Linked DNA regions of Sus scrofa. The protein of the gene in region 1 binds, or shares a complex with, the protein of each later gene. Links are inferred from orthologs where the notes say so. Each region holds a gene or a part of one and is shown in the gene's direction. Other genes may lie near its edges.

The links. Proteins that work in one complex are often made in the same cells at the same time.
Region 2: the proteins of RAI2 (region 1) and CTBP1 are in contact, whole or in part, in a cryo-EM structure (PDB 8ARI), measured with the Homo sapiens proteins. The link is inferred for Sus scrofa from reciprocal best matches to the Homo sapiens genes RAI2 and CTBP1. Residues at the interface, in NP_001166210.2 of Homo sapiens: Glu315, Ala316, Leu317, Asp318, Leu319, Ser320, Met321, Lys322, Trp326; in NP_001319.1 of Homo sapiens: Arg36, Cys38, Met42, Val51, Ala52, Phe53, Cys54, Asp55, Gln57, Gln60, Glu61, His63, Val66.

The regions. Positions count from the first base shown.
Region 1 is NC_010461.5:14,243,325-14,252,858, reverse strand, and holds the end of RAI2 (retinoic acid-induced protein 2), read left to right. Parts: intron 1-4,095; coding exon 4,096-5,715; 3' UTR 5,716-6,083; downstream 6,084-9,534.
Region 2 is NC_010450.4:472,388-482,631, reverse strand, and holds the end of CTBP1 (C-terminal-binding protein 1), read left to right. Parts: intron 1-1,976; coding exon 1,977-2,121; intron 2,122-2,681; coding exon 2,682-2,888; intron 2,889-4,227; coding exon 4,228-4,442; intron 4,443-5,093; coding exon 5,094-5,224; intron 5,225-5,594; coding exon 5,595-5,722; exon of another isoform or gene 5,723-6,204; coding exon 6,205-6,322; intron 6,323-6,516; coding exon 6,517-6,517; intron 6,518-6,558; coding exon of another isoform or gene 6,559-6,561; coding exon 6,562-6,744; 3' UTR 6,745-7,462; downstream 7,463-10,244. Other genes in the region: uncharacterized protein LOC110262036, read right to left, coding at 9,921-10,244. UniProt on the Homo sapiens protein: Corepressor targeting diverse transcription regulators such as GLIS2 or BCL6. Has dehydrogenase activity. Involved in controlling the equilibrium between tubular and stacked structures in the Golgi complex.

The DNA.
Region 1 (9,534 bases):
GGGGCCGGGTGGACAGGGGTAGGTCGGGTCCTGTGGGAGCTCAGCGGCGTACGGGGGAATCTGACAGGTGAGCAGGACTTGGCTGGGCGAAGGTCAAGGCCCCAGAGGGCTCCAGGCCGAGGGGCCGATCCTAAGACAGCCCGCCTCTGCTGTACGAAGATCTCCTGAGAGTCAGACAAGCGGTGCAGGTCGGTCACAGTTCTGCGACCCGCCCAGGTCTCCGAGCCCACCTCCTGCCGCAGACAGCTCCCCACCTCCTCTCTGGGGTCGCAGAGGCTGCACTGGGCGGGCCCTCAGCCCCCAGCCCTTCGGCCCCAGCCACTGGCCAAGGATCCAAAGAGCGCCAGTCTCCAGCAAGCTGCAGGCGCAGGTTGCCCCCGCCCCTGGGTTCTGAGCCCACCCTGTGCCCCCAGGATCATGGGTGCAGGCAGAATGGACGGCTGACCTCTTTTAAATCCACGGGCAAACAAGGGGTTGAAACACCCACACAGAAGGTTCACAGCGACATCTGAAGAAACGGCCCCCTCTGCTTGAGCATTAGTTGGTCGCTCCCGGGACACTCCTTGATCTGAAGAGGCCCCCTGCGCGCACCTCCCCCGCGTCCATCACTAGGGGACAGGCCTCCATCTTCTCTCCGGTCATTATCTGGCTTCCGAGGGGACGGAAACTCGCTCTCTGAACACTCCCTTGCTGAGCTGCTTGTTCTCCTCAGGGCATCACTGCGGCTTCCAGCATTAGCGCCTGCAGCGGGGACACCCGCTCAGGCCCCCCAGCTGCTGACCCAGAGTTGGGGAGGAGCAGAGAGAGGGGCAGAGCCCCCCGTGGAAGGCAAGAGGGTACAGGCCAGGTAGCCCTGGGCCCCGCAGGTCACCTGAGGGGGGGCAGGGCTTCTGAACACGGTGGGGGAACCAAGCCTCCATTCAGCCAGCCAGCGGCCTACTTGGGCTGAGTCAGCCGGTTGGTCCAAGGCTGTCATGTGGGAGGAGGCAGGAGTGAGACTTTGGCCCCAGGCCCCTGAGAGGCCATAGCTGCTCAGACCCACCCGCATCCCAGTCTTGCCTGCATCCCAGCCTTGCCTGCATCCCAGCCTTGCCTGCATCCCAGCTGGCCCCAGCAGTTCCCAGAGGCTAGTGTTCCCAGCAGGGGGTCAGATGGCCTCCCTGGAACCCGCGGGACTGGACGTGCCCTCCCTCCCACGTGACATCTGTCTCGGGAAGGCGGGTGGGGTGGCGGGTAGCTGGTGGTAGGCTGGGTGGACGGAGGCCTCCTAGGCCTCCGCTAACAGAACCGTGGCTGCTTGGGGCTGCGCTCCCCAAGGACAGAACCCCTGGTGATCCTTCGGCTCCTCTATGGCAAGAGGGACAGAGGAAGGCTCTGGTGGAGGAAAGAGCACGAGCAGACAGTTCAGTGATCTTTTGGAAAGGGCCTGGCCGCCCCTCGTAAGAACTCTGAGGTTCGCCTGCCTCCTCACGCACAGCTCTGCAGTCGCATGTGCTCCGTACTGACAGGGAGGATGCCCGGTCGCTTCCGCCAAGAGACAAAAATGCATGGAGGGGTGTGGCCCTCCCAGCTCCCGAGAGACGAAGGAACCCGGGGTTGACCCTGAGGTCTAATCGCAGCCTCAGTGCACCCTTGAGTGAGGTATCTATCCTTCCTGGGAGATCACTTTTCTCACCAATAAAATGGGCCCAATCATAGGACCCCTCCTGTAGGGTCGTTCTGAGCGTCGAAGGAAGTAACGCGTGGGAAGTCCTCAGCAGAGGGCATGGCGCATGGCACATGCTCTGCAAGTTTTGGCTTCTTCCATCTGCGAGAGGAGCAGGGGCCCGTGGGAGGTCCGTTACTTTGGCTCCTCACACCCTGAGCAGGAAGGTTCTGCAGGATTAGCAGCCCTAGAACCAGGGCCAGGGAGGGAGAGGCGTGCGGTTGCACAGGAAGAGATGCAAGCGGCCACCTGAGCTGAAGGTGGGTGCCGGGGCAGGTGGCAGAGGCGTGGAGAAGTGTGCCTTCTTGCTCTTGGCAGTGGCGGGGGGCACATCTGGAAGGTATAACCCATCATGAGAAAGCAGTCTCACAGCTGGATCATCCCAGACTCCCAGGAAGCACGGAACAGTCCTTGCCCCGCTGACCTGCCTTGGAGGCTCTCCGATGCCACCTCACAGGGCTGGTCATGGGATCCTTCTCTGACGGCTGCAGTGCTTGTCCGCACGAGCCCTGCCCAAGCTTCCTTTCATCCTTTTGTCACCTGCCCTGAAGAGTTCTGGCCACTCAGAGGGACAAGGCAGACCTTCTGTGGGAGCCCTTAGGAGCTCAGAGCCTTCGAAGGGCTGCTCCTGAGTGGCCGATAGCTCTGTCCCACCAAGGCTGATGCTTCTTCTCTCCTGGCTTCGCTCTGAGGCTTCTGCATGCCGGCTGGTCTCTTTCCGATCAAAGACACGCTCCCCCTCGTGATTAGAATCCCCGTGAACACCGGAGCCTCATCTGTGTCGCTCATGGCAGCATCCCCAGCCCTCAGCAGAGCCTTGGCGTGCTGTAGGCATTCAGCAGATGGATTGGTCGGATAAGTGGTGTGTTGGAGGCATGGCATTTTCTGGGCTGAATCGGGGAGCACTCCTCTCAGAAAAAACAGGCCCTTCAAGCTGGGGCAAGTCCCCTCCAGCTCCCTGGGGGCAGGCTTCCTCCCTACGCTGCCCTAGGGGCATCGCTGGCCAGCAGGCTGGGCCACCTCGCAGGTTCATTGCTGCGGCGCACCTTGCCCCCCACCCCGCCCCGCTTCCTCCTGCTTCAGAGAAACTCCTTGTTCTGTGTACGTGACATATTTTGATTGTCTGGAAGCATCACTGAGTGGTTCATCTGTTAAAGCTGCCCTCCCATAGTGAGGCCTCATTTACTTACTTCTAATCCCATGGTGTGCTGGGCCGCCTCTCTTGTCTTGGAAGTCGCGTTGGTAGTTTCGGGGTGAGAGGAGAAGGATGAGTTGACCACCCGATGAAATTCTAGACTCCTGAGACAGGTGAGGTCAAGCCTTGGAGTTGCCCGAGGCCCGCCCAGCAAGACTGAGGATTATTGAATTATTATTGAGCCCCACCAGACGCCAGGGCGGCACAGATCCCCGAGTTAGACATGGTGCCTGCCTTCTCCATGGCAACAAGGCTAAATATGGACGCGTTTCCATGGAGAGCCATCTTGCAGCTGCAGCCCTGCTTCCTCCAGGAAGTACCCGCGCTGGGCTCCCTTGGCCTCTCAGGAGGCGGCCAGAGGTGCCCCAGACATCAAGAAAGCATGGCTCACCCTTGAGGATGTTTGGTTCCAACCAGCGTTCCATTTCCCCAGCCCTGGATCCATCAGCATCCCCTCTTCTGGACACCTAGAACTTAGGAGAGGTCACGGGTCAGACAGACGAGCTCCCTGGGGCAAGTGACACTTGACTGATGAGCACTCATGGGAGTCATCCCTTCCTCACCTTGCTCCTTGGAGCGGCTCTCACTCGTACTGGAGGAAAGGGAGCTGTCATTGGTCGAAGGGTGACAGCTGTAATGACCGTTGTGTAAATACACCGCCGCTCCCCTCCTCAAGCCTCTTTTGGAAGAATTATTGCTGCTTCAAAGCGTTTTTTAAATGGTTTCCATAATTGGGATGGCCCCCTTCCAAGGTCATAGAATATTCCAGTGTGACAGGGTTCTGCTTTTTTTCTTAAAGGACACCACGTCTTGGCTGCTGCTTTGGATTTGAACCAGTCTAGTCTCCGCCTATCTTAAGGGTCCGACACAGCACCGGGGAGCCACGCTCTGTGTTTGTGCCAGGCTGAACCTCCAAGCTGAGTGCTGGGTTTTGCGATACTCTGTTTAACCTCACTCGGCTATGTAGTCATTACATCATCTGTGCTTATCGTTTAATCGTCTGTTAAATTGGGGCCGTCCACGCACAGCTGATCAGACGGGTGTGTTCGTGTATGTTGGGAACGATCCGTGGCGTGCCCGTGTACACAGAGAGACGGGTGTGCTCCCCGGCTCCCTGAGATACCGAGAGAGCTCTTAAACCGTGGATGTGCGTGGTCTCTGAGGGACGATTCCGATTGTGTGTTCTGTGTTGCAGGCCAAGTGGCATCAGAGCCGAGTGATGGATGACCTGCAGTCCCAGAACCTGTCCATGGACATGACCGACTCGGCCCCCGCCTTGGCCAGCAACCGCCTGGAGAATGGCATGGCCCAGCTGATCACCACCGAGGCCTGGAACATCAACTCCACCGACCTGGTGAAGAAGGCCCTGGTGACCGTGCCGGCGCCGTCCATTCTGAACCCGCCGGCCGAGTCCCAGAGCGGCATGGCCCTGAAGGTGGCGGCCACCGTGCTGCAGCCCCTGTGCCTCGGGGAGAGCCCGGTGGTGATGCCCATTCACATGCAAGTGGAGGGCAGCTCGGCGCCCGAGCTCAACCCCAACGGCAACGCCACCTACGTCATGACCACGCAGGGCCCCGTCCAGCTGCCGGTGGTGCTGGAGCAGCACGTCTTCCAGCACCTCAACTCGCCGCTGGTCCTGCCCCAGGAGGCCCCGTGCTCCTCCGGCGCCGTCCACAGCAACCTCTTCCAGGGAGCCGAGGACCCGGAGGCGCAGCCCCAGCTCCTGGACCTGAGGATCCCCAGCCAGCCGCAGGAGCCCAGCCTGCCCTTCGAAGCCGTGCTCCAGAATCTGTTTCCCTCGCAGGGCGCTCTGGGCCCCCCACCCTGTCAGCCTCCTCCGGGCTACGCCCCCGTGCCCCCCCAGCCCTTTAACGCCCCGCTGTCGCCCCTGGTTCCGCCGGCCACCCTCTTGGTGCCCTACCCCGTGATCGTGCCCTTGCCGGTGCCCGTCCCCATCCCCATCCCCATCCCCGTGCCTCAGAGTTCCGAGTCCAAGTTCAGCCCCGGCTGCCCCAAGGCGCCGTCCTCCTTCGGCCTCCAGCCCTTTAGGGGCGGCCCGCCCGCCGTGCAGAAGGAGGAACTGAAGCCCTTCGAGCTCCTGCAGCCGCGGGAGTACTTCCAGCTCAGCCGCCACACCGTCATCAAGATGGGCAGTGAGAACGAGGCCCTGGATCTCTCCATGAAGTCGGTGCCCTGGCTCAAGGCTGGCGACGTCAGTGCCCCCGCCTGCCAGGAAGACGCGGCCCTCGACCTGTCGCTAGCAACCCACCGGCGATCGGAGCCCCCGCCACCGCCGGAGACACTGTGTGACAGCAGCGGGGCGGTGGATGGCCCCGGTCACGCCGCGATGGAGACACCGCCCGGTGGTGGTGTGGAAGTGCCCTTTGCCCCCGCCACACCCCACGAGGCCGCCGCCGCCGCCGCAATGGAGAGGCACCTGGGCGGCAGTGACGCTGCCGAGCCCCCTCGCCAGCCCAGCGGCGAGGTCAAGGCTGAGAATAACATTGAGCTCGGGAGCGAGTCCCAGGCGGCCAAAGTGATTGTCTCCGTGGAAGACACTGTGCCCACCATCTTCTGTGGCAAGATCAAAGGCCTCTCGGGGGTGTCCACCAAGAACTTCTCCTTCAAGAGAGAAGACGCCATGCTCCAGGGCTACGACATCAGCAGCCAAGCGGAAGAGTCCGCGGGCAGCGCGGAGCCCCTTAGGAAACCCATCAAAAACCGGAGCATAAAGTTAAAGAAAGTGAACTCCCAGGAAATACACATGCTCCCCATCAAAAAACAACGGCTCGCCACCTTTTTTCCCAGGAAGTAAATAGTGGCTTTTTAAAATTTTTATGATTATAATATGGGGAAAGGTGCATTGGTTTTATAAAAAGGCATTTAAAACAAATTATCTTTGTTAATTATTTGGGGGAGTAGTTGGGGAGCGGGAATGTGAATTGGCTGTAGAGGCCCTGTAAGCTAGTATCATTTTCTTTTTTAATTTTTGACTTTTCACAAATGAGTAAATAAGAGCAACCTATTTTTCAAGCAGATTGCACATTTTTTGCAGCTTTAATGGAATATTGGGTGAATCAGAGGGGTAAAAAAGCTATTTTCATTGCCACCAAGTGCTTTGATGATGTAATACCTAATAAAGGGTAGGATGACTATTTCACAATAAATGTTTGTTTGCACTAATTGGTTGCAGTATCCGATCATTTCTAAAATTTGCCTTCCTTAACTGGCATGGTTTGGCCCAAACTCGCCTGTACAGCCTGGCCCGTTAACCCCTGTTTGGAGACCCAAGTTCTCCAGGCACACTGGGCATACCGGGCAAAGAAGACTCGTACTGGCCTGTGGCCTCGGAAAAGGATGATTAGAAATACGGATGACCCTCCCCTTCTGGCCTCTTTCTTCGTTCGTAAAATGAGGCAAAGAGAGGGGGTGGTAGCCAAGGCCCCTGCGGTTCACAGAGACCCTGGATGTGCAGAGTTGTATGTCTGAAATCTTCCACAGACTAAAACAGACAAGTGCTTCGAAAGGAAAATGTACCTGCTTCCCCCCTCCTCCCCTCCCCGAATTTAACTGGAAGGACTTTCTTTTCAAGGGCCGTGGGATCCTTGTGCTGGATGACTGAGAAGCCCTGCAGGTCAAAAGCGTTACCAAAGGCCACTCAGAACAAGAGGAGAGTCGGTGGATTAGGAGGTAATCGCAGAGAGGTTCCCGGCCCTGGGGAGCGGGGCTTGGGAGCGGGGTCGAGGAGGGAGGCGATAGCCTTCCCTGGTTCCTTTAGCCCCGTGGTTCTTACGTCGGGGCGACGGTCCTCCCCGGGGGACATCCAGCAATGCCTGGAGATGCTTTTGGTTGCCGCGCTTGGGGGAGGGGGTGCTCCTGGCGTCTGGTGGGGAGACCAGGATGCCGCGAAGCCTCGCGACAGGACTCTGGGCAGCCCCCAGAGCCGAGAGCCATCCAACCCCACTGTCAACGGCGCCGAGGCCCAGAGCCCGAGGTGAAACGGTTTCTGGAGGGACAGAAGCGATGCTCCTGGAGGAAGAGAAGAGCGCAGAGCCACCCACGCCGGGGAGGAGCTGTGAGTGTACACGGAAGGCAGACCCGCTAGGCGGCGCACCCCACTTGCCTATGAGACCCCGCTGGCGCGCGGGCGGGCCTGCCTTTCACCTCGGAGCTCGCCCTTTCACTTCTTGCCATTCGGATGTATCCAGCTGTTACTGTGATCAAGAGCCGGAGGGAAAGCGGTTGCCAGACTGTTCTTTTATGGCCAGGCCCTCCGTGTCTAGGGTGACGGTTTGAGCTGGTCCCGTCCCATATACCCAGCGTGGCTTTTCTTTTTCCTGTTCTTGGCCTGTGTTGTTAGCATGTCTTTTTCAAAGTGCGACACAGGCATAAATCGTTGTTTCTTGTGAGGCCGACTCGTTCCATTCCCCTAGCACCGGCCAGACCCCCTCCTTTCAGCTTCTCCGTGAGGCTGTCTTTTTCCGTTTCGACTCCTCTGGTGGGTTCCTGGCCGTTTCCTGAGCCCGGGATGTGTGTTCCACTTTCAAATACAACCAGCACAGATGCGCCCGCCCGGGGACTAGCGTTTCCCATTCACCTGCTGTCTGGTTCTCACCAGGTTTGCGGTCGTTTCTGCTGCCCCCGCCGTGTCGGGCAGCTTTTCTCCAACAGCCAGCAGGGCCCCTGTCCTCGCAGTGTCCTGGGAAAAGCTGCTGCTTATCTATCCGGCTCTGAGGGAAGCGAAGTCTCGGTTTGCCCCTTGGATGCTCGTGCTTAAAGCTGAGAGGCGCACAGGTGGAAAGGAAGGCCTGTGGAACCCGGAGTCACATTATAAACATCGAGCTACGCATTTCCCTGTGTTGTATCTGAAGATGCCCTTTTCTCTTCAGCTGTCGGCTCTGGTCGGGCAGGCCGGCCCCCGGCCCTGGAACAGGCCTCTCCTCCCGCCCACCCGCGGGCCTGGCACTGGGGTCTAAGCGAGGCCGTTGTCATGGGGACTGGCCGTAGCGTTGGGAGACTTGCCGGTTGAGATCCATGCAGGCCGAACACGGAGTGTCGTGATGGGCCCAGGGTCGCGTTCCCGAGGCAGCGACATCCTCGGTCCGCCCCCTCCCCCCTTCCCAGAATCGACCAGAATCTACTTGGCTAGGAAATCAGGAGAAGGGGCGACGGCCCTGTGCCCACAGCCAGAGTGAGCCTCGGGTTCCCTGGTGGCTCCGTTCCACCGGCCCTTCCTAGTCCCCAGCGGGCAGCCCTTCACACAAACCTCGAGGAAGAACCATCATCTTGGATCCATGGTTCCTGGACCCTCCGTGCGGTGCGCGTGGCGTCACAGGGGTGGCCACTGGCAAGCCCTCAGGCCCCATCATTGTTCCGCTCCATTCTGATTCAGCCAGCTGGGGTCACTCTAAGCTCCCCACAAATCACAACTGTCTCCAGCTCACGTCCTTCCACGTTTCAACCATGCAGGATTTCCAGGCTTTTTCTCTTGACTTAATTTCCCATCTCTTCTCAGAAACGGTGTCTTGGCCAACTAGTCTAAAGAACAGCTTTTCAGAGTCTTTTAGGAAATATGATTCGTCCCCAGGAATGTTGATGCTTGCTCAGACTTATCAAGATGGGTTCAGTTGGCTTCAGTTCAGAAATGATAAAAAAAAAAAAAAAAAAAAAAAAAAAAAAAAAAACTGGCATACGTTACTAAGATCCACATTTGGGGATGGTGATCCTCCTGGTAAAGTAAAAACTAGTTGATCTAGAGGGAAAAAAGAAAGATTTAAAAGAGGATACAGTGGCTGTCCTAACCAAGGAAGTCCTTGACAGTGAGTCGAAAATTCTCAAGCAAGGTCAAACATTTGTTTAGGTTCAAAGGCAAAACTGTCACACTTTTAAGCATGAAAAAATGTCTGCAATGCTGAAAAAAACTCCGAACTCCAAAAGAAGGAAGGGCGGGGGGGAGGAGGAAGGAAAGAAGGAAGGAGAGAGGGAGGAAGGGGAAAGGCTGCCGATTCCTGAGCGAGGCTGTCAATATAGTAATTATCTTTATAAATAGCCTAATTAATAAAACAAAGCAGGAAAGGATTTGGATCTCATTTGACAAGTGAGAAAATTGAGGCTCAGAAGAGTTTGCTGCTCGCAGCTTCTAAGCATCAACAACTCAAAAATATGTACTTTGCAATGATTCTTAAATATTGGGTTTGAAGCCCAATGAACCCACAGGAATTTGGATCCTTTGGGGGCAGAAACCAGTATGAATTAGTGAAGGGTCTGAGTTACAGATTTTTTTTTTCAATTAGTTTCAAGACCATTCCAGTTAACTGGAACGCCCAGAGCACTTGGCACCACGGTAAAGGGGGGATTTCAAGCTGAAGGATGCCGACGCCAAGCCTCTAAAAAGCCACACGCGAAAGTTGCTAAGCTGAAAACTTTAACAGCAGGGGAAAAAAAGCCTTAGAGGTCATTCTGGCCGGCTTTACTCCTCATTAAATAAAAAAGGCAATTTTCCAGAACAGCATACTACCAGCAGGTCAAATAACTGACCTCCCACTTCAGCGAAACGAAATAGGGTGTATTTGACGTCTTTAGGGTGCCATTGTAATAAATTGAGATTTGATTTTAATTAACATATGGGTGATTT
Region 2 (10,244 bases), on another chromosome or scaffold:
ACGCTGAAGACGGCGCCGGGGTGGAAGGCCCAGGAGAAGCTGCCCCGTTGCAGCCAGGGGCCTGCACACCTCCAGCTGCCCTTCCCGAGGCCCGGGTCCACGTCCAGCCCCCCCCCCCCAATCCATCTGCCCCAGAGTCAGGGCCGCCCCTCCCCACACTGGCTCAGACATGGACACCAGCAGATCTGTCTACACCCAGCTCTCCCCCAGCTCCCTGCCCACCTGCCTAGCAGCCCTCCCCTCCCCTCTCCTCCCCACCGCGGCCCTCGTCGCGCCCACAGCCGACCTCCAGCGCCTTCTCTGCCTCCTGCCCTCGCGCCCCACCTGCTCCTGTGAGTCCCTCTGCCTCTGCTGGGCGCCCACACTGGTCCTCCAGGTCCGCCCCGGCCCGTCCAGTCCAGAGAGCCCTCAGGACGGGGGCGGGGATCCAGGCGCTCATAGGCGCCCCCACCCCGGGGGCCGAGATCAGGCCTTCAGAGCAGGAACCAGAGCCACTGCCACTGTCCCTGCCTTGGTCCTTTCTGTGTGGCCACTGCGGCCACATCCACCAGCAGGGGCATCCTGGGCCCATATGTCCAGGCAGAACGAGGCGGAGCTGCTGTGGACGGGGGAACCGGGGCAGGCCCTCTCACCGCAGGCTGCGTCTCCGGTTCAGTGTCCTACGTGACACCCCCCCCCCCACATCAGCCACAGTCCGCGCGGCTTCCTTGGCTCACACATGGGCCCTTGTGTCCAGCAGCCACTCTTGCAGGGAGCCCAGGGTCAGCAGAGGAAGCTCGGGCCGGAGGGGAGGGCAGCAGGTATGTCAGCCACGGGTTCCTGGGTCTCACGTATCAAGAGACGTCCCTGATTACACTGTCCTGTCGGGGGGAGTAAACTGGGACCTGTCCTGGGTCACAGGAGTGTCTGGCTGGGTGGCCCGGGCTCCGCAGCCCTTGCCCTTGGGCCCAGAGGTCAGGTTACCCTGCACCCTTGGCCGTTGGCCCGGGGAGGCCTGGCGGACCCCGTGGGCTTTGTTCGCTGCCCTGGAGTATGGCCTCCACCTTCCTGCACCTGCACCACCCTCATCCGTTCCATGTGGAGCTGGGCATGCCCCTGGGAACTAGGGGTGCCACACACAGGCAGGCTGGCACTGGCTCTGGGCTGCACTGAGGGGGGACCTCTTCCCTGTGCCAGCCAGACTCTTGGGGGCCCAGTGGGCTTCACCTGGAGTGGCCCCCCAAGACCACAGCACCCTGCCTGGGCAGGTGCCCCGGAGCCCTGCACTGGCCGTGGATTCCCTCAGGCCTGGAGCCCCGGCCGTGCTCGAGGGACACAGAGGCAGCCGGGCCTCACTGGGGTCACAGCTGGCAAGGTCTGCCTCTTGGGCCTGGGTGCACAGAGCCCAGCCCCACTCGGGAACCCTCCTCTCAGGGAGGCGACCCCCCAGGTCCGTGGCGCGGTGGGTGGTGCGCAGGGGCCGTGGCAGCTCCTCACTCCTCCCAGAGGAGTGACCTACCGCCCTGGGCCGCCCCGCGCCGTCTGGAGGCCAGGCTTCCTGCACGGTCACCACAAGGCCACACTGCCCACCCCACACAAGGAAAGGGGCGCCACGCCCACTGGGGTGTTCGCTGCATGGGGACTGGGCAGCTCAAAGTGGCCTTGCGGCCTCGTGGCTGCCTCCTTCCGGAAGCAGCTCTCGAGGTGCTGCCCGCCTTTCAGGTCTGTGGTCTTGCTGCCTGGGGCCCCCGTGCTCCCCGCTCCCACCCGCTCTGGCCTGGAGTCCGGTGGCCGAGGAGAGGGCAGCGTGCCGAGCGCTGCCTGTGCCGATGGACCCTCTGTGTCCTTGAGAAGCCTGTGCCGAGTCAGGGCCGTCCCTGCGGGCCCCACGGGCCTCTCGAGGGGGCTCTGGGCGGCCTCTCCCGGGGGGCCTGCAGCGCCCGCAGGCCCGGCCGGACTCCCTGGCGGCCTCGGCTCAGCGCACTGTCCCTGTGCAGGTGCTGAACGAGGCCGTGGGCGCGCTCATGTATCACACCATCACCCTGACCCGGGAGGACCTGGAGAAGTTCAAGGCCCTTCGCATCATCGTCCGAATCGGCAGCGGCTTCGACAACATCGACATCAAGTCAGCCGGGGACTTGGGTAGGACGGCCCCGGACCCTGGTCTCTGCAGCCTTAGGCTCTGTCCTCACCGAGACCACGTCACCTTCTGTCTTGTCCGTCCGTTTTACCGGGAGGAGGCGGATCCGGCTGCAGCCTGCCTGGTTGGAGGCGGGCCGCAGGCCCCACGCCAGCCCCGTCGGGTGGCACTGGTATCCCTCAGGCCGAGCTGTGTGGGTGGTGCACCCCGTCTGCACAGCCCACCTCCCTGGGGCGGAGGAGACGGGGGTCGGGTCGGGCAAAGGAGGTACGTTGTAACCCGGGACACACGCGAGTGTCTTCGTGCCTGGGGCGCGCTCGGTCCCGTCTCCGGCTCCGTCTCCATGACGTTCTGGTCCAGTCACGGCCTTGGCGGGCGAGGACATGCCGGGCGCTGCCGGGGGCCTAGAGCCTCCCTCAGGGTGGCCCCGCTGCCATGGCGACGTGTGCGGTCCCGCCTCCTGTTCCCCAGCCTGTCCGCCCGCGGGACCCCAGGCGGTGCGGACAGGGGCTTGCCGGGGACGTGGCCTCCAGTGACGCCCCCGTGTGTCTCGTGTCCCCAGGCATCGCGGTGTGCAATGTGCCAGCCGCGTCCGTGGAGGAGACCGCTGACTCGACCATGTGCCACATCCTCAACCTGTACCGCAGGACCACGTGGCTGCACCAGGCGCTGCGGGAGGGCACGCGGGTCCAGAGCGTCGAGCAGATCCGAGAAGTGGCTTCCGGGGCCGCCAGGATCCGCGGGGAGACCTTGGGCATCATCGGATTAGGTGCGCCCCCCCGCCCCTCACGCCCCGTGTGTGGCTCCCCTGTGGCAGAGGCCGGGGCTCAGCTGTGCGGCCAAGTGCCCCCGCCCCAGATGGTTCCCAGATGGGGCAGCGCGGGCGGGCAGGTCTGACCTGGAAGCGCAGGCGTGGCCACGTGCACACAGATGTTGAAGGGGCACCGGCCCGGCCCTGGGCCAGCCCAGGCCTCCTGCCAGGCAGCACACCGGGGGGTGGGGACGTGCTGGGGGCAGAGGTGCCGGGTGGTGAGGGCCAGTGTGGAGGGAGGGGCCTGCGGCCTGAGGGGCAGGAGCGCCTGCGCTTGAGGTCACGTGGCACCGTCCACCCTCTTCTGTGCCACCTCCCCGCAGATCCCGGGCACCCATCCTCCTGGTTTCCCACAGGCTCCGGCCCTCCACCGCGGCACCGCCTTCCGTGGCCAAGGGGAGCGTGGGGGGCAGAGGCGCCTGCGCTGGTGCAGGGGTCAGGGCCCTGGCTGCCTGTGGGCCGCGGTGTCGCTCCCCAGCGCTGCTCCCTGATGCACCAGGCGTGCGCACGCGGACGCTGGGGCTGGTACGAGCCCCACAGCCCTGCCACCTCCAAGCCCTGTGAGGTGTGAGAGCAGGGACAGCCCGGCCCACGTGGCATGTTGGGGGACGGTTTGCCTGGACAAATGGCTTTGGGCCACATCACCCCCAGGCGGTGTTGCTCAGGGGTCTCGGTGCCCGGTCCAAAGGTGACCAGCCGCAGGAGTTCCCTCGTGGGCAGCAGGTTCAGAATCCAGCGTTGTCACGGCAGCATCTTGGGTCACTCCTGTGGGCGTGGCCATAAAGAGAGAAAAAATGAAAAGTAAAGGTGACCAGCCAGCCGAGTGGGAGGTCCCGGAGGCCGTGCTAAACTAGCGCTGGGCACCGCAGCCCCAGCCTCTGCTCCGGCCCGCGCCCCACCCCTCCCAGGACGCCCAGTGCCTGCTTCCAGGTGCCCTGCTGCCCAGAGCAGAGCGGTCCCCTGAGGGCTGCTGTGGCCCGAGAGGCAGCGCGTCCTCCAGGAGCAGAGCCCTGGCGTGGCACCCCTCCCGGCTCCTGGCCTGCCCAGGTCCCCTGCTTTGCCTCCACTGTGGCAGCCCGTGGTCACCAGGGCAGAGTCCCTTCTGGAGGAGGGACCCTGAGCCCCTGTGTCCTTCTCAGCAGCTGAGGTCAGGGGCCCGGGCTCCAGGGCGCGGGGCCGGTCCTGAGCCTGCAGCCCCTGGCCCGCCTCGGTGGCCCTCTGCATCTGGGAGTGGAGCCCCTGCCCTGGGGAGCCGGGACAGCCGAGGCGGGGCTGCGGTGACACCCTGTCCCCCCAGGTCGCGTGGGGCAGGCGGTGGCGCTGCGGGCCAAGGCCTTCGGCTTCAACGTGCTCTTCTACGACCCCTACCTGGCGGACGGCACGGAGCGGGCGCTGGGGCTGCAGCGGGTCAGCACCCTGCAGGACCTGCTCTTCCACAGCGACTGCGTGACCCTGCACTGCGGCCTCAACGAGCACAACCACCACCTCATCAACGACTTCACCGTCAAGCAGGTCTCGGGGCGGCGGCCACGGGGCGAGGGTGCAGCCTGGGCGCACGAGGTCAGGGGCAGACGGGCTTCTGGTGGCCGGTCTGCTGGTGCCACCGCCCCCACCGGGCCCCCCGAATCCTGGGGCCTCCTTCCCTGACCCGATGGCCCCGGGCCTTCCAGGTGGCTGTATGCACAGCGCGTGTTTGCAGGCACAGCGCACCCGCGTGCGGTGGAGAAGTTTGGGTGACGACTCCCACCCACGTGTGTGTGCACATGTCCTGTGTTTACGTGTGAGCGCGCGTGTGGCCGCGCGTGTACACTGTTCACGCGCCGGCCGTTCTGTGCGTGTAGGTTGTGCAGATGTTGGCGTGTGCTGGGGTCTTGCCTGGTGCAGGTGTGCTTACGGACACTTGTGGGCACGTGTGTGTGTGGGGACGGGTGTGTGTGCTGTCTGCCCGTGGACAGTGGGGCTAGTGACTAGGGCCAGGCAGCCGCTGGGGCCTTGGGGGGACAGCAGCGGGGACCGTGGCGTGAGGCCAGGACGGGCGGGAGCCCACAGGGACGAGAAGAGCCACCTGAACCGAGGGGCAGCAGCCGAGCCCTGCAGCAGCTGGTCTGGGGGTGAAGTTGGGTCTGGGGAGGGTCCTCAGGTCACACGGTCTCTGTCTTCCAGATGAGACAAGGGGCCTTCCTGGTGAACACGGCCCGGGGCGGCCTGGTGGACGAGAAGGCGCTGGCCCAGGCGCTGAAGGAGGGGCGGATCCGCGGCGCGGCCCTGGACGTGCACGAGTCGGAGCCCTTCAGGTGCTTCCCGTGACGCCCTGGCGTCGCCGAGATCCCCCCTGCCCCGGCTCGCACCCCACGCTGGCCACAGAGCTGCTCGGCGCCGGGGGGGGCGGGGGGTGGCCCCACTGCCCATGCACGGTCTCCAGTCCTGGCCTCAGGCCGCCGAGGGTCCGAGGGCCCGGGAGGACTCAGGCCTCGCCCCCAGCCTGAGGTCCCGTGGCAGGCAGACCTTCCTCCCAGGGCCCGGCCGAGTCTCGGGGGCTGCGGGGCCAGGATGCTCGCGTCCCTGCGCCTGATGGGGGCCGGGGAGACGGAGGGTAGCTCCAGCTCTGGGCGGGGTGGGCACCCTCTGCCCGCCTGGGCGCTCTGACTGCCCCGTGCTGTGTAGCTTTAGCCAGGGCCCCCTGAAGGACGCTCCCAACCTGATCTGCACCCCGCACGCAGCCTGGTACAGCGAGCAGGCCTCCATCGAGATGCGGGAGGAGGCGGCCCGCGAGATCCGGAGAGCCATCACAGGTGGGCGGCGGCCGGCGGCGGGTGGGCCCGAGGCCCTCGTGGGGGCCGCCTCCATCTTCCGCTGGCGGGGACACTGCGCAGAGACCAGCCCCCATGGGGGACCCCTGCACACGCACAGCCCCAGGTGCTGGTGTCACGCTCGTGACACTCACTGTCCCACAGGGCTTTCTGCACGTGTATCTTTTCTCCGCCTTTTAAAAAGCGGTTTGTGCTTGTGAACCTCTTGGGCTGGGCCCTGCCAGCTTCTCCGGGAGATGCCCGGGCCCGTCAGATGGGCTCGGAGACCCTGATGAGCTGAGGGGCCCCGGGCCACAAGGGTGACGCTGCCCAGACAGGCAGGATCCCAAAGTGCCTCGGGAGTGCTCCTCGGGGCCCCTGTGGCTCCTAGGGGGGTGGCCCATGCCACCGACGAGCCCCCACGCTCCTGGGGTCCCCCTGGGGGCAGCTGACGTGGGCACTGTCCCTGTCTGTGCCGTCTCCAGGCCGGATCCCTGACAGCCTGAAGAACTGTGTGAACAAGGACCACCTGGCAGCAGCCACCCACTGGGCCAGCGTGGACCCAGCCGTGGTGCACCCCGAGCTCAACGGGGCCGCCTACAGGTGAGCCCCCGGTGGGCGGGGGCCTGGACTTGGACGGTTGGGGTGACACGCGTGGGGGCAGCCTTCGGGGCCTGGTGGCCACAAGACCAGCTCCCTGGGGGGCGTTCCCCGGGGGGCGTGGAGGGGGCAGGGCGGGGGTGCCTTCAAGGCCGCCACCTGCCTCTGCCGCCGTCTCCGCTGGGCCCACAGCCCAGGGTCCCTGCCCCCGGCCTCACCTGCGGCCCTTCCTCTCCCAGCAGGTACCCCCGGGCGTGGTAGGCGTGGCCCCCAGTGGCATCCCAGCCGCAGTCGAAGGCATTGTCCCCAGCGCCATGTCCCTGTCCCACGGCCTGCCCCCTGTATCCCACCCGCCCCACGCGCCTTCTCCAGGCCAAACCGTCAAGCCCGAGGCGGATAGAGACCACGCAAGCGACCAGTTGTAACCCGGGCAGAGCTCCGAAGCCTCGCCGCCGCCGCAAGCGCCGAAGGGGCCGCGCCCTCGGACAGGCGTGTGCAGGGGCAGCGCCGACGGGCGGCCGCGGCCTCCAGAGATGGCCCGGGCTCCAGGTGGTGAGAGGTGGCGCCGGCCTCCTCGCGTCACTGTAGTTGTCCCGTCCCGAGGGCCAGCCGCTGCCCTGTGTCCTTCGCGTCCTTGTTAAGCAAAAGCAGTTCGTAGTTAATTCCGTCATGAATGTTCCCGTCTGTGCACAGTCTCTAGAACATTACAAGGATTTGTTTGCTTAGCTGTCGGCAGAGACGCCCGCGGGAGCGCCGGCGTCCGCCCAGGCCGCCCCGTGAGTGCCGCGCGCCCCGGACCAGGCAGTTGGCAAACTTCTCAGGACAATGAATCCCTCCGGTTTTCTTTTTACGCCACACAGTGCATTGTTTTTTCTACCTGCTTGTCTTATTTTTAGGATAATTTAGAAAAGCAACACCCAGGCTGTCTTTCCTAATTTTGGCATGAACCCCCTTGTTCCAAACGAAGGCGGCGCCGCCAGGCGGGCAGAGCGTGCGCCTCTGCCCCGGGGGCCAGGGCCCCGCGCCCGCCGAGCGGAGCCGTCCTGCTGATGTGGTAGGCTAGCAATATTTTGGTTAAAATCATGTTTGTGACTGTAACCATTTGTATGAATTATTTTAAAGAAATAAAAATCCCAGAAAGAGCCGGCACGCCCAGCGTCTGTGTTCACGGCTTTGTTTCCCGGGTCCCTGGTGGGTCTCCGTCCCGTCTGTGGTGGCCCTGGGCCTGCAGTGGGGAGCCCGGGGGGCTGTGACCCTGCTGCTGCAGAAGACGCAGGCGGTGCGCCCTCGGGCAGCCTGGGACCTGGGACCCCCCCACACCCCACCCCCCGCCCCAGGGCGGCAGAGGCCGCTGGCTCTGCAGCTCGCGGGACGCCTGTCCCGACGCTCCGGCTGCACCAGCTGGTCCTCCTCGCACCACCTCCCGTCCTCAGGGGCTACCCCGTCCCCCGCGTGTCCCCTCCGCCACCAGCACGGCTGCAGCTGGTCCTCCGCCTCCACTGCCCTCGGATCCTGCACCAGGGCCGCGTCCTTGGTGGTCCTGCCAAGCGGCCGTCTACAGACCCCTGCCGGTGGGAAGGTTCTGGAGGGCACCCTCGGTCCGGCCACGCCCTGACGGGTGAGCTCCCCTCGTGGCACGCCGCCTGTCCCCGGGCTCTGCTCTGCACCTCGGCCCTGCGTCTGTGGTCCTTTCCGCTGGGAGGGCACGGCTCTGCCCTCCGTCATCCCTGGGGTGCAGGGAGAGTTAATTCTGCAGAGACCCGCTGGCCTCCAGGGAGTCGTCAACAGCAGGGAAAAGACGGCATGACAAGCTGGGAGCTGGTAATGGAGAGGCTGAGAGCTTCGGTACCCGCTTCAGGAGAGAACAGAAGCCGAGATCCAGACACACGCGTCCGTGTTGCAAAAGCAGCCGGAAGAAGAGGGACAGGATCAGGCTGTGAACTACGGGTGTGAATAAATAATAGGCGTCAACCTGGAATGGGTCCTAGAAGGCACCGTAGAGAGTGTCAAGTTCAACAGCGCTTTAGTAGGTAGTAAAATAAATAAGACAAGTGCAGTGAGGGTCCGAAGTGAGAAGGAGGGCGACCCGTTCCCGAGGTCAGGGGAATGACGCGGGGCGGGGGCCCAACTGTCCGGAGAAAGTTTAGAAGGGGTGGAAACCACACTTGAGCTAAAACCAAGTAAGGGATCTGAAGGGCTCTATAACTTTAGGAGATTGAACTCAAGGGGTTCCCGTCGTGGCTCAGCATTAACGAACCGGACGAGGAACCATGAGGTGCAGGTTCGGTCCCTGGCCTCGCTCTGTGGGTTAAGGATCCAGCGTTGCCAGGAGCTGTGGTGTTGGTGGCAAATGTGGCTCGGATCCCACGTTGCTGTGGCTGTGGCGATTGGACCCCTAGCCTGGGAACCTCCATATGCCACATGTGCGGCCCTAAAAAGCAGAAAAAAAAAAAAAGAAAGAAAGAAAGAAAAGAAAAGAAATCGAACTTAAGGTGTTCCCTCATGGCGCAGCCGTTAAGAACCCAGCACTGTCACCGCAGCAGCTCGGGTCACAACCGTGGGGCGGGTTTGATCCCTGCCCAGGAATTTCCACGTGCCACCGGCGCAGCCGAGAAAGAAAAAGTGGAACCTGAAAAAAAACAAAAACACTTCCTCAGAGATTACAAATGGCTTCAGTGGTCAATCCTAACAAACATTTAAAGAAGAAACACCTCTGATGTCCCACTGACCGCCTCCTCCAGTCATTTTGGGACATGGCATTGACTCTGATTAAAAATTCCAGAAAGAAAAAGACAGTCCAGACTCATCTTGAGCCGCGCCCGGGGCGTGACCTGCACAGCCAGTCGAGGTGACGCACGGGGCCCCGGGCGTGGGTTGGGTGGGGGCCGGGCCCCTGGGGGATGGAGAGGCTTTCTGTCCCCCAGTCTCTCTCTCTCCCGCCTGCCCAGCCCCCCGCAGGTCCCCACTGTCCCCGGCAGAGGCGTCCTCCCTGTCTCAGCCCCCGTGCCTCTTTCCCCAGATTTCAGGGTGGCCATTTGCCCTGCGACTTCGGCTCTGGGGTGGATCCAGGAACCCTGTCGATTTTTCCATCCTCAGGACAGGACTCACCGCTGCTGACCTCTTTATGCTTCAGAGCTGAAGCCCTGTTTACAGTCGAACGCGAGCCTTTTTTCACCTAACTGCCTTTGCAGAAGCGTGAGCTTCAGGAGGGCGGCGTGTGGTCTGTTTTGTCCTCCACCAGATGCCCAGGACGAGGTGGGAGCAGGGGGAAGAGGCAGGAATAGTGGGAGGGCAGCGAGAAGCCGCCCACGTGTGCCAGCGGCACCTGCACAGAAAGCGCCACTGGACCCGCGAAGCACACGAAGCAGGTAGGAGGGGAGGATGGGGCTGTTCGCAGGGGCAGCTCGAGGTCACCCCGGGACGTGGAAGGCCGTGCACACGGCAGAGCCCTCCCCCACTTTGCTTGTTTTCTGAAGACCCGGAGTGGCCACCGCGCGACTCCAGCAGCCTGGGAGTCAGCAAGGCGCCGGCGGGACAACCACCCGTCGGTGCTGGCGGCTGGGGGAGGGGTAACACGGGAAGCGCACATGCTCTGACCCCGTCAAAACTGCAGCTCTTGTGTCAGCAAGTTCTTCTCTCCCAGTGAATGTGGACGAAGGGGGGAGGTCTGTGAGTTGGGGGCTGTGAAACCCAGGCACGAGGAAAATCGGACGGAGCCCAGGGACAGAGGCGGGCACCCCAGGGAAGAGACACCGAGGACAGCTGGCTGGGTGTGCGTGCGCGCCTGCCTGCAACCGCGCAACGGAGCGGGGCGGCCGGAGCCGAGGGGAAAGGACTGGCCCCTTTGTGGAGGGCGCGCCTCGGGGTGGCGGTGGGGGCGCAAGGGCTGGTTAACCCGCAGGACTGCCGAGGCATAGACCACGAA